Rattus norvegicus: one gene and its partners. The protein of the gene in region 1 purifies or fractionates together with the protein of each later gene. This does not show direct contact. Links are inferred from orthologs where the notes say so. Each region holds a gene or a part of one and is shown in the gene's direction. Other genes may lie near its edges.

Region 1 (3,748 bases):
GATAAAAGTATTCTATATATGTATACCATCCCTTGCTAGAATACTTTTATCATGGTCTGAAAGTCCCCAGCTGTGTTGTCATTTGCTCCAGGGAGCCCTGATAGGTAGAAGTCCACCTACATTGGGCGCCTCTTTCTCTAGAAAGAGGGTCCATATCTTTTCTTCTGGGTCCATATCTAGCCTCCAGGCATCAATCAGGGTTCACCTGAAACAGCCTTTCTTTTATTCACTTTCTTCTTCTCTCCTCTTTTTCACGAGGAGGCTTCCTTAGTGATATCTTTCCCCTATCTTTCATTCTCCACATTGAAACTACAGTTTCCTTCTATCTATTTGTAAGAAGGCCCTACAGCTATCCTCTGGGATTCTGCTATAGGTATGCACCCCTCAGAGTGTGATCCTCTTGGAGGTGAGGCAGAGAAAAGTGGGTGTCCTCAGGACAGCTAGGGGCAGCTGAGTTTTGAGATTTTACTCTAGAGTCTCAGAAAAGAGGAAAATCAACACTTGTTCATAAAGGCCTTGCTTATTTTCACTCTCCAGAGAAAGCACTGGGCGAGCGACCTTCCAAAGTCTAAAGTACAGTGAGAGAAGAAACAAGCAAGCGAATGCCTGGGCCAGTGAAGAAAGAAATAAGAGGCACAGGGAAGAACTCAGACAATAAATAAGGGGATGAGGGAAATGAAGACAGCATGAACGAGAGGGTAGGAGCGACGTAGGGAGCAAGGAAGAAGCGAGAAGGAGGGGACAAGTGAAGCAATGAGTGAAGTAATGAATACGCGATGAGGAATAGAAGGAAATAATGCAGGGAGAAACGAAATGAATGAGAGAGGAGAGTGAGGGGAGGAAGGAGGCAATGAGGGAGAGGGTAAGTGATTAGGTGTGAAGAGACAAGCAAGCAAAGAAGCTATGAGAGAATGAGTGAGGGTAAGAATGAGGCAAGGAGGAAGGGAAAGAAGGGCATAAATTTGCACCTCCAAAAGGCACTTCTAGGGTGGCGTTTCCTGACCAGCGGTCCAACGACAGTGTAGCCCCAGTCCCGCTCTTCGGCCTCGCTCCGCCCCGCCCCGCAGCGATCCCCCTGTAGTCCACTTGCGCCTGCGCAGCATCACACGTGACGGTGAGGCTCCGCCCCCACCTCCAGCCTCCCGCCTCCCGCCTGCTGCGAGAGCGGCCACAGCTTGCGGCAGCACCAGGTCAGCTGCGAGGCATGAACCGTGTGGGCCTGGCAGGCCTTCGTCGCCGAGCTTGCGCTGCACGCGGGGATGGGAGAGGGAGCGGGGACAGCGGCGGACGCGGGGATACGGGCCAAGTATCACGGGCGCCTGGGGAGGGCGCGGGCGACTGCCTGACGTGGCGGGGGCCCGGCCGGGCGACCCTAGGGCGTCCGGCGCGGGCCTGGCGCCGTGGCGCGGGCTGGCGGAGGCCTGCGCGTGGCTGAGGCGGACCGTGGCCCTCGCAGCCCAGTCGACCACTCTCTATAGCCAGTCGTGGGTCCGAGTGTGGCCTCCGGCCTGTCCGGGTCCCTCGAAGCTATGGGAGCAGGGATTGCAACAGGCGGCAGGGCGGGCCTGGCTGCCGCTCCCGGCGTGACCTCAGGCTCTTCAGCCGCTGCTGCGGTTGTTGAGAGAAGCCGGAGAGCTCGCGCTGTCAGTGCAAAATCCCCGGGATGTACTAGTTTAGATCCTGTACAGGCCGAACGAACGGACCTGTCCGGGCGCAACGGGGCCACCTTCTACCCGCGGCAGCTTCCTAGGGTAAGGCCTGATCCCCGAAATGCTCCTAGTCAGTGCTCTAGGGAACTAGCCACAGAGCACGTCAGCACCTCTTGGAGACTCTCCGCGCCCCCCCCCCCCCCCGTGGAAATAAGGACCCACTCTTTCTCATTCCAAGCTGCTGGTTTTTCTTTTGTTGCACATGTTGCGTTGTGATACGGATAAGTTGAGGACAGATACTGAATGGGAGCCCCTACAGAAGATTAAGGATGCCTTTCTAGTAAATGTTCGTTGAAGATTCCTCTAAAATATGTTTCAGTGTATGGCTGTTTGGATAGGAAACCCAGATATCTTGACTAGGGGCCCTTAAATAAAGCGTGTTTACACGCGTGAGAAGCATGAAGTTATAAGCCGAAGCAAATGGAAAGTGAAGAGGAATATTGAAGATATGTAGTCACTAGAGTCTCCTTAATTTTTTGTCGTTAAAAAGAGTGAAGACAGGTGTGGTGACACCTGCCTTTAATCCCTGTACTCCGGAGGCAGAGGACGGCAGATCTCTGTGAGTTCGAGGCCAGCCTGATCAACAGAACTCCAGGACAGTGAAGGCTGTTACACAGGACACTTGAAAAAACAAGTGTCTGTATGTGCACCTGGGTGAAGGAGTGAAGGCTCTGGAGACCAGCAGAGAGCATCTCGACCGGATGTCAGTGCTGGGAACAAAACTCCAGTTCTCTGAACAAATAGTTTTGTGTTAAATGCACTGAGCCTTCTCTCTAACCCTACTTGTTCCTTATTTATTTATGACAAGTCTACATATTGTAGGCTGGCTTCCAACTTTGTGATCTTTTTGTATCAGCATTCCTGAGTGCTGGAGTTACAGATCTGTTACTATACCAGAGATCCTGGATGCTGTTGCACTCTTGGTTGTACTGAATTTCTTTTCTTGAGCTTAGTAAATGTGCTCTGCCTATCCAAAGGAGTAGCCATCCTGTTTTACTGTACTTGTTTTTGTGGTGGCTGTTTAGAGAGTAGATGATATTTCCAAGAGGGCAGGCAGGCTGCTCAGCTGACAGCAATGGAGACCACCCCAACATGTGCATTGCGGGGGGGGGGGGGGGGAGTCAGTGTCTGGTTTTTTTTTTTTTTTTTTTTTTGGAGCTGGGGACCGAACCCAGGGCCTTGCGCTTCCTAGGTAAGCGCTCTACCACTGAGCTAAATCCCCAGCCCCTAGTCAGTGTCTGTTAAGGCAATTAATCATCCACAGATGGGGAAGCCTTCCAGGACGCTGAGGTTTGAAGGTAGCAGCCAGAGTCTGGTTAGCAGATATTGCCATAGAAACTAACCTTGAGGTGCTTGGGAGACAAACTGTCAAGGGTAGAGAAGACTGGTTCCCTACCAGAGCATGTTTTTTGAGATTGTATGAAGGCTCTAGGTAGATGTGATCAACTAGATCATGGCCAGAATAGTACTATGAGAAACGAACATAGTTCTGTTAGAGGATTGCAGGTGTTCCTGTGGGTCTAAGAACTGGTAATGTGGCAGGCAGGAGAAGGAAGAAAGCCTTTGAGTATTAAGTGGGGAGATGGCACAGGGTAATGAGGCGAGAGTTAGGGAAATCCTTTGGAACAACATTTCTATGCTCTGACTCCAAACTGTGGCCATTGGAAAAAATAAGGGGATGGCTGTGCAAGATACAGGAGTAGAATCAAGACCAAAGGATCTTACAAAACATAAGCTTAAGAAGGAAAAGAGATCATGGAGATTAGGAGGTTTCAGGTAGAAATGGAGCATGCAACTGACAAAAACAGACCAATTAGGAGGGATTCTGGCTGGAGATGCCATTGGGAATGCATGTCCTGGGGAATGGATGGATTGAAGGAAAGGAAGAAGTCAGGAGAGGAGGAATTACTTTACAGCAGAGTTCCAGGCTGGAGAGATCCTAACCCAGAAACAGTTGCCAAGACATAAGCTCTAACCATCTCTAGGGCCTTGTGAGAAGGCATCTGGTTCAGGTAGAATGAAGGTGTGGGTAAGCCAAT
Region 2 (3,748 bases), on another chromosome or scaffold:
GGAAAGGAGGAGAGCACAGGACTAAAGAACTGATGAAAATCCAGAGCAAAATGGCAATGGGGGTGAGGTGGGGATGCAGAAAAAAGGGAGGTCTAATGCTAAATAGCACAAAAGCAGAGTCATCAAAGAAATGCGTAAATGCAAGAGAGTTGAAACTCTTAACATACAAAGTTGAGTCAAGTGCAGTAATGTATACCTATGACCCCAGCACTGAAGTGGTGGGGGCAGGAGAACTGAGAGTTTGAGGCTATCCTGGATGAATAATGATCCTGTTAATAAACGAACTGAGTATGACGGCTCATGCAAGTAACCTCAAGATCCAGGAGGGTAAAACTAGAGGACCCAAGAACAGGACCCAAGAGTGTTTGTACACTTTGCCCTTGTGTTTGTACACTTAACTCTTGAGATTCTTCTAAACCCTCGGAGTATAACTTGTCCGATGCTCTGAATAAAGGCTATTGCTTGAGACTTTAGTCCACCTCACTTTTAGGCTCCATTCTCCCAGGTTCCATTCCCCCTCAGGAGTGGTTAACCATCGCTGTGAGGCTGGATTGGGCTCCACATAAAGACCCTGTCTCAGCTAACTTGGGAAGTTCACGGCAGTTCACAACTGTCTGCAACTCCAGTTCCAGGGGTCCCACACCCTCACACAGACATAGGTGCAGGCAAAACACTAGTGATGCGCATAGACTAGGAAGAGAAATTTTAAAAAGATAAAGAAAACCATACCTCTTGAACTTCAAGATTACAGGTGGTAGAGAATCACCTCCCATCCCACTTCTTACCAGAAACTCACAGGCAGCCACCAATCTGTCTCTTGACCTTTGCTACTTGCTCCCCATTTCTCTGCTTCCTCGGGATCTAGCTCTGTTTCTGCCTACTCTTGTCTTGCTGAAGTTTCATGCTTGTATCCGTAGTTCTTTTATTATCCTCACAGAGTACATTTTCCCCTAGACCAGAGGTTCTCGGCTTTCCTGGTGCTGCTACACTTTAACACGTTCGTCATTTTGTGGGGACCTTCAACCATAAAATCAGGCTCTGGATTCTCCCATGCACAGTTCTATTCCTTTCTCGTGGATCTCCCCGTGGACAATCCAGCGCCAACCAGGTTCCTTTCTCACACCCATCTTGGGACACTGAGCTCCCCTCGCAGATCTAAGCTTATCTTCAACAACTACTTGGCGCGCCCCCTGGCGGCAGCCCCGAGGCTGCACGCTGCTCCCCCTAGCGGCCGCGCCCCTGCACTACAGCGGCCTAGCGCCCTGCCCCGCCCCGCCCCAGCCTGGTCGGCCCGGCCGGGGGAGGGGTCGCGGCAGCGGCGGCGTCAGCGACACCGAGGCGGTAGGAGCTTCAGGCTCCGGAGCAAGATGGCGGCGCGGGTGCTGCTCGCGCGAGGAGGCCTGCTGCGGCCAGCCGCCCCCGGCAGCTTCCTGCCCGGGCTCCGGTGAGCAGCGCCGCCCTTTCCGGGGCCCGGCCGGGGAGGGGCCGCCGTGGGGCGAAGGGCGCGGGGTCCCCGGGGCGGGGAGGGGACGCCGGGGGCCGGCCTCCGAGTCCCAGGCGACGGAGGGTTGGCGTGGCTGCAGCGCCTTCCCCGGGCCCCTTGGGGCTCAAGGTCACGGTCCTGCCGGCGCCGCCCTTGCCGGGGACGCCCGGGATCGCGGGCCATGTCCGCCCGCAGCCTCCGCGCGCTGCGCCCCCCGCAGTAGCGATGCCTCGCCCCAGGTCGCGAAAGAATGGCGGGTTCCCCCCAGGGAAGCTGCACCCCGAGGTCCCCACTCGGGACAGCCCTTAAATTTGAAAGCGGAGTGGATTAAAAAAAAAAAAAAAGTAACCGACGGTGGCGGAGTTCGCAGTTGAAACTTTTTCTTCTCCTAACCTCGGTGGAGTCTGTTCGGTTGTGTCCACCTGTCACCTTGACATCCCCACGTTTATTAAGTAACGAAAGGCCATCCGAATTTCCAGATTTGTTTTCCCTTCTTGCCTTCCTTTGTATTGTTTTTCATCTCTAAACTGTTTTCAGGATTTATATATATTTTTTTATGTATATAAGTGTTTGCCTACCTGGACGTCTATTACATATGTGCCTGGGGCAGCCAGAAGGTTTTGGATCCCCACTACCGGAGTTACAGCCTGTTGGGAGCCGCCATGTCGGGGTTGGGAATGGAATCCTCTGCTAGAGCAGCAAGTGTTCTTAACCCCTGAGCCATCTCTCCAGCCCCTATTTATTTATTTGTTTATTTGTTTATTTATTTGTTTGTTTATTTATTTATTTATTTATTTATTTATTTATTTATTTATTTATTTATTTGAGACAAGGTCTTGCTACATATATCCAGGCTGGCCTCGAACTTTCTGCAAACCTTCTGCTTCAGACTCGGAAGTACTGTAGTTTCAGGTGTGCACTACCGAGGCCAGCCTTGGCTAACTGAAATGTTGCCTTTGTTTTTTGTTTTTTGGGTTTTTTTTTTATATCTCTGCGTGCATGCACACGTGTGTTTGTAATTGATTTTTCTCCCACCAAGTGGGTCTGGGAAATTGTAGTTCATCAAACTTAGAAGCCAGTTTCTTTACCCCTTAAGCCATCTCAACAGCCCCGGAACTTTTCTTAAGATTTGTTTGTATGAGTGTTTTTACCTGCATATATGTATGTGTACCATATGCATGCCTGGGGGCCTACAAGGATCGGAAGAAAGTATCTGGTCCTCTGGAACTACTGTTACAGAAATAGTTGTGAGCTACCACATGGGTTCTGGTACTGGAACTCTGGTCCTCTTGGAAAGGAGCAAGTGGTCTTAACCACTGAGCCATCTCTCCAGTACAATGGGGGCACCATATAATATGACTCGTCTAATTTAGTGGCAATCTTAAATAGTGAGGTATGCATCTCACGCAGACATAGAGACAAGAGACACATCTCTGGGGGAAAAGTGTGTGTGGTCGCTTTTGTTTCAGGACCCATGCAACTTGTAGATGCAAATTATTTAAATCACCTGTAATATGGTTTCCAAATGAAGTGAACAGACAACTTCCCTATCTGTTGTTACTTAGCAAGCACTCTGAGCCCCTAAAGTTTGCATTTTGTTCCTTGGGAAACAGGCAGCTGAAACTCAAGGTGCTCGCTCAAGACCTGATGCTCAAAGTGGTAAAGCTGGTAAACTAGATTTGGACCTGCCAGGTACCCATACTTGGAGCCAAATGCTCTCTACCCTGTGAGTGCTTGAAGACACTCTCACCCTCCTCTCTCCCTTTCTGCCAATCCTCTCTGGGAGCTGTTCAAAGAGGAGGAAGAAAAGGGGGTCCAGAGTAGTTTAGAACCTTGTAAAGTCTGAGGTGTAGGCTGTTCAAATAGAAAATCCAAATATCTGGGCTATAGGCAACTGATGGTAATTAGCATATAAGAATGTTGATAGATACCTGGATTTCATTATTCTGTGTTTTCACTGAGTTTTTTTGGTGGTGATGGTTTATTGTTATTCTGTGGGTTTTTGGTTGGTTTGGTTTTTTGTTTTGGTTTTTTGGTTTTGGTTTTGGTTTTTTTTGGGAGGGTTAGGGTTTTTTTTTTTTTTTTTTTTTTTTTGTCTTTTCGGGGGATGGGGATTTGAGACACAGTAACCCTAGTTGTGCTAGAACTCGATCTATATATCAGGCTGTCAAGCCTGCCTCTGCTTCCCTAGTGCTGGGATTAAAGGCGTATACCACCACCTCCTGGCTTGTTTTTTTTTTTTTTTTTTTTTTCTGGCTTGTTTTT
Region 3 (3,739 bases), on another chromosome or scaffold:
GTATGTAGGCCTCTGCTCAATGACTGAGGTGTTTAAGGGAGGTAAGCATCAACTCTGAAAAGAATGTTAGCCATCAGCTAGAAAACAGTGAGAAACAAAGCAGGGTTGAGGCACTCTTGGTAAATAAAGAACTGAAAGGTTGCTAGATGCTGTTTTCCGTTGGTCTTGTCATTTGCCCTGTCTGTGTATTAGGTACATCAGAGACCATTTATAGTGAGCGCTTTACTTTCTCAGTCTTCAATCTGTGTATGTTAAATAAACAAAGCATTAAAAAGGAATGAAAATAAACATTCTTCACGTACTTCTTAAACATAGATCTCTCTCTCTCTCTCTCTCTCTCACACACACACACACACACACACACACACTCTCCTTTTCAGCCCACATTTCTGCATTTCCACTCTACATCAAGAGCTTCGTTCATTCCTTTTTTTTTTTTTTTTTTTTACAGAGATTGTAGTAGAAAGGAGAATAGTTATAGCTAGCAAGAACCTTGAGAAAATGATAGAGTAGATGTCTGGGTGTTAGCTACAGACCCAGCACTCAACACTTCAGATCCTGGTCCCTCTCGGTCTCTATCCTTTACGCCCACGATAAGTCCTGCATCTGTGGACGCCACAGCAATACACTCTCTTCCACCTTTACTTCACCTTAGACGTTCTGGCATTTCGCTTAAAAGCCTTGCCACCTTTTAAGCCCTGGTGGTTCAGAGCGTCGGTTCTGCAGCTCATCTCCTGATTAGTCAACTGTCCTAACTTCTCTCCGGGGGCGTGGACAAGCTCGATGCTAGATCCGGCTTGTGGTGATGACGACATCGGCGGGCGACGGCGGTGGCCGCTGGAGCGGCCTTGCGGCAGGGTAGGGCTTCCGGGGCCGTAGGCCTGACTCTTCAGAGCTGCTGTCATGGCGGGTGCTCTGTGGGGTTTCTTTTTCATCCTGCTTCTATTATTATCAGGAGATGCCCACAGCTCGGAGGTGCCTGGGGCTGCTGCCGAGGTCCCGGGAGGTAGTGGGGTCGCCCTGGGAGATCGTTTTAAGATCGAGGGACGTGCAGTTGTTCCAGGGGTGAAGCCTCAGGACTGGATCTCCGCGGCCCGAGTGCTGGTAGACGGAGAAGAGCATGTCGGCTTCCTTAAGTGAGCATCCTGAGGGCAACAGGAAAGCTATTTGGGCGGACGCTGGAAGGGTATCCAGCTGGGACAGCTGTCAGGACCCGCAATGTAGCTGTCAAAAACTGAAGGCACCGGGGCCACTAACGGTCTATGCTGGGAGACCTTGAGAGGGAGTCAGGTACTTCAGCAGCGAGGATGGCGGACAGTGGTCCCAGGCGCCCGAAACATATGGGGTCATTTATTTGTAGCCCCATTTTAGCCCCAGTGTGAGGCGGATCATACTTGGGCCCATTTATCTGCTGAGTGCCCCCACCCCCGCCCCCTTGCACTTTGTCTAATGTCTCTGGAACCTGGTTGCTTTCTACCTGTCACTCTTCTGGTAGCTTGGTGTTGTGTAGAAAGATGCTAAACAAGTGGGAATTGTCAAAGCCCAAAGGGCTCCCAGTGACGACATAGACTGTAAGGCTAATGGTCCTGCTTCTAAAATTAATGGGCCCTGAAGTCCCTAATCAAAGAGCGCTTTTTTTGGGCCCGAGATTGTGATTATTGTTCTTTTTACGATTGAATTCGTCGAGGGATTTGCGATATTTCACTCGTCATTTAAGTCAGACCAGGATTGCTTAAGATTCCTTACACATAATTGTACTTTTCTTGTTTTTAAGTTTGTGTTTTATATTGGAAGGTGGGATGAATTTCTTGACGCTATGTCAGCAGTCCGTTTTCTCTCTTCTAGGCATGAATATGATGTTTTAAATTTTGCCACCAGTATTTGGAGTTGAAACTATGAACTGAAAGAAAATATTTCTTTGCAGGCTTTATAGACCAACTTATGATATCTGAAAACCACATACCTTAAATGTGGACATTTAAGTTTAAATTGCATATTTCTGCAGGTTGTTGAAGTTCCCTTGTGGTATATTCAACCTCAGATTAAAATGACAAATTGACAATCAGTAGTTTAATGTTTTCTAACACTAGGGTATTGTTTAAATTTTATCCTAACTAATGCTTCATTAATAATAAATTCCCACTGAGATTGGGAAGATAAGGCTTCATTGAAATTCAACTTCTGCAGTATATAGCAGTTTGAAAAACACCTATTTTTGTTTTGAAGATATTTTACAATTTAATATATTCTATATTGCTAGCTATGCTTAGCCTTGCACAGTGACACAGGCCTAACAACTTGGCTACTGAGGAGTCAGAAGCAGAAGACTGTAAGCTAAAGGACACTCTGAACAACTTAGTTGAGACCCTGTCTCAAAGAAGCAAATGCTGGCGATACAGTTTTGTGGTGGCACTTGTATGCAAGAGGTCCTGAAGTGACTCCCAAGTACAAATAAATAAATATTTACTGAAGAAAACATAAACAAGATATTTTCTTTTAAAAAGATGCAACAGAAAGAAAATAACCATTGTATTATAGTAATTTTTTTCTCTTTTTAGAATCATATTACTTGTCTTTAAGAATAAAGCATATAAGACCATAATTTTCATTTAATATTTATGAACAATTTTTATTACTTCACATTCTCTTATTCATATAGAAGGGCTGGTTGAGAATTGATATGACTTTTATGGTGATAGTCTTGTTGGAAGTAGGATAAGTCTTATAGCTGTTTTGAATAACAGCACACAAGTTTGACTGTACTTTTGGTTTCTGGGGAAGTAGCTTGGACTTTAAAAATGGAGATGAGAGGAGATGGGTTAAAATGGTCAAGCCATTTTTTATATCATAACATGACGATAAACCACAATTTACTTTTCCAGTCTTCTGACAGTTAGGTAGTTGCCAGGTTTTATTGTTGTTGTTTTGGCTTGGCTTTGGTTTTGGTTTGTTTTTATATTATAAGTTTATGTACTACTTGTGAAGTTTTTTTTAGAATTATTTATTTTATGTATATGAGTGTACTGTAGCTGTCTTCAGACACACCAGAAGAGGGCATCAGATACCATTACAGATGGTTGTGAGCCACCATGTGGTTGCTAGGAATTGAAATCAGGACCTGTTGAGCAATCAGTGCTGTTAACTGTGGAGCCATCTCTTTAGTCCTTGACTTTTTTTTTATGTATAGTTTTACTGTGTGATTCTTATCATCCTCAAACTCTTGTCCTCCTGTGTTCACTTCCTCACTGTGTTCACAGATGTCTCCTATCATGCCCAACTTTGCTTTTTCTTTCAGTAATTCTGATTCTATTTGTTGAATAGTCATCAGTTTCTTTCTTTCTTTTTTTCCCCCTCTGCTCGAAAAAAACGTTTGAAGTTGTTTCTGTCAGGGTCTATCAAGAAGCAGAAGATGACTGGATGTAATGTCCACATTTATGTCCCAGCTCTTTCGAGGGTGAGGTGATAGCATCATGAGTCTGAGGCCATCCTGAGTTATATAGCAAAATTTTTGTCTCCAAAAACAAAAGAGCAGAATATGCACTAACATTAGAATAGTAAACATAGAGTTTAATCAAAGGTTAAAACAGCGTATTCTTCCTAGTATGAAGAAACAGATTGTGCAGTACCCTGGAGCTTACAGCCTCAACAGTATTTATCCAATAATACATGAAAGCAAAACCAACCAAGAAACTACTGCCACCTCTGCCAGAGGGACAAGGAGGGGAATAGGCTACTGGAA

What was found. Proteins that work in one complex are often made in the same cells at the same time.
Region 2: the proteins of Klhl22 (region 1) and Nipsnap2 purify together in Homo sapiens (co-immunoprecipitation; 3 studies listed by BioGRID and IntAct, counting the BioPlex papers as one, with this or other methods). This does not show direct contact. The link is inferred for Rattus norvegicus from reciprocal best matches to the Homo sapiens genes KLHL22 and NIPSNAP2.
Region 3: the proteins of Klhl22 (region 1) and Emc7 purify together in Homo sapiens (co-immunoprecipitation; 3 studies listed by BioGRID and IntAct, counting the BioPlex papers as one, with this or other methods). This does not show direct contact. The link is inferred for Rattus norvegicus from reciprocal best matches to the Homo sapiens genes KLHL22 and EMC7.

What each region holds. Positions count from the first base shown.
Region 1 is NC_086029.1:96,733,427-96,737,174, reverse strand, and holds the start of Klhl22 (kelch-like protein 22), read left to right. Parts: upstream 1-1,159; 5' UTR 1,160-1,190; intron 1,191-1,295; exon of another isoform or gene 1,296-1,529; coding exon of another isoform or gene 1,530-1,751; intron 1,752-3,748. UniProt on the Homo sapiens protein: Substrate-specific adapter of a BCR (BTB-CUL3-RBX1) E3 ubiquitin ligase complex required for chromosome alignment and localization of PLK1 at kinetochores.
Region 2 is NC_086030.1:32,577,883-32,581,630, reverse strand, and holds the start of Nipsnap2 (protein NipSnap homolog 2), read left to right. Parts: upstream 1-1,327; 5' UTR 1,328-1,367; coding exon 1,368-1,444; intron 1,445-3,748. UniProt on the Homo sapiens protein: Protein involved in mitophagy by facilitating recruitment of the autophagy machinery required for clearance of damaged mitochondria.
Region 3 is NC_086021.1:119,717,544-119,721,282, forward strand, and holds the start of Emc7 (ER membrane protein complex subunit 7 precursor), read left to right. Parts: upstream 1-868; 5' UTR 869-903; coding exon 904-1,136; intron 1,137-3,739. UniProt on the Homo sapiens protein: Part of the endoplasmic reticulum membrane protein complex (EMC) that enables the energy-independent insertion into endoplasmic reticulum membranes of newly synthesized membrane proteins.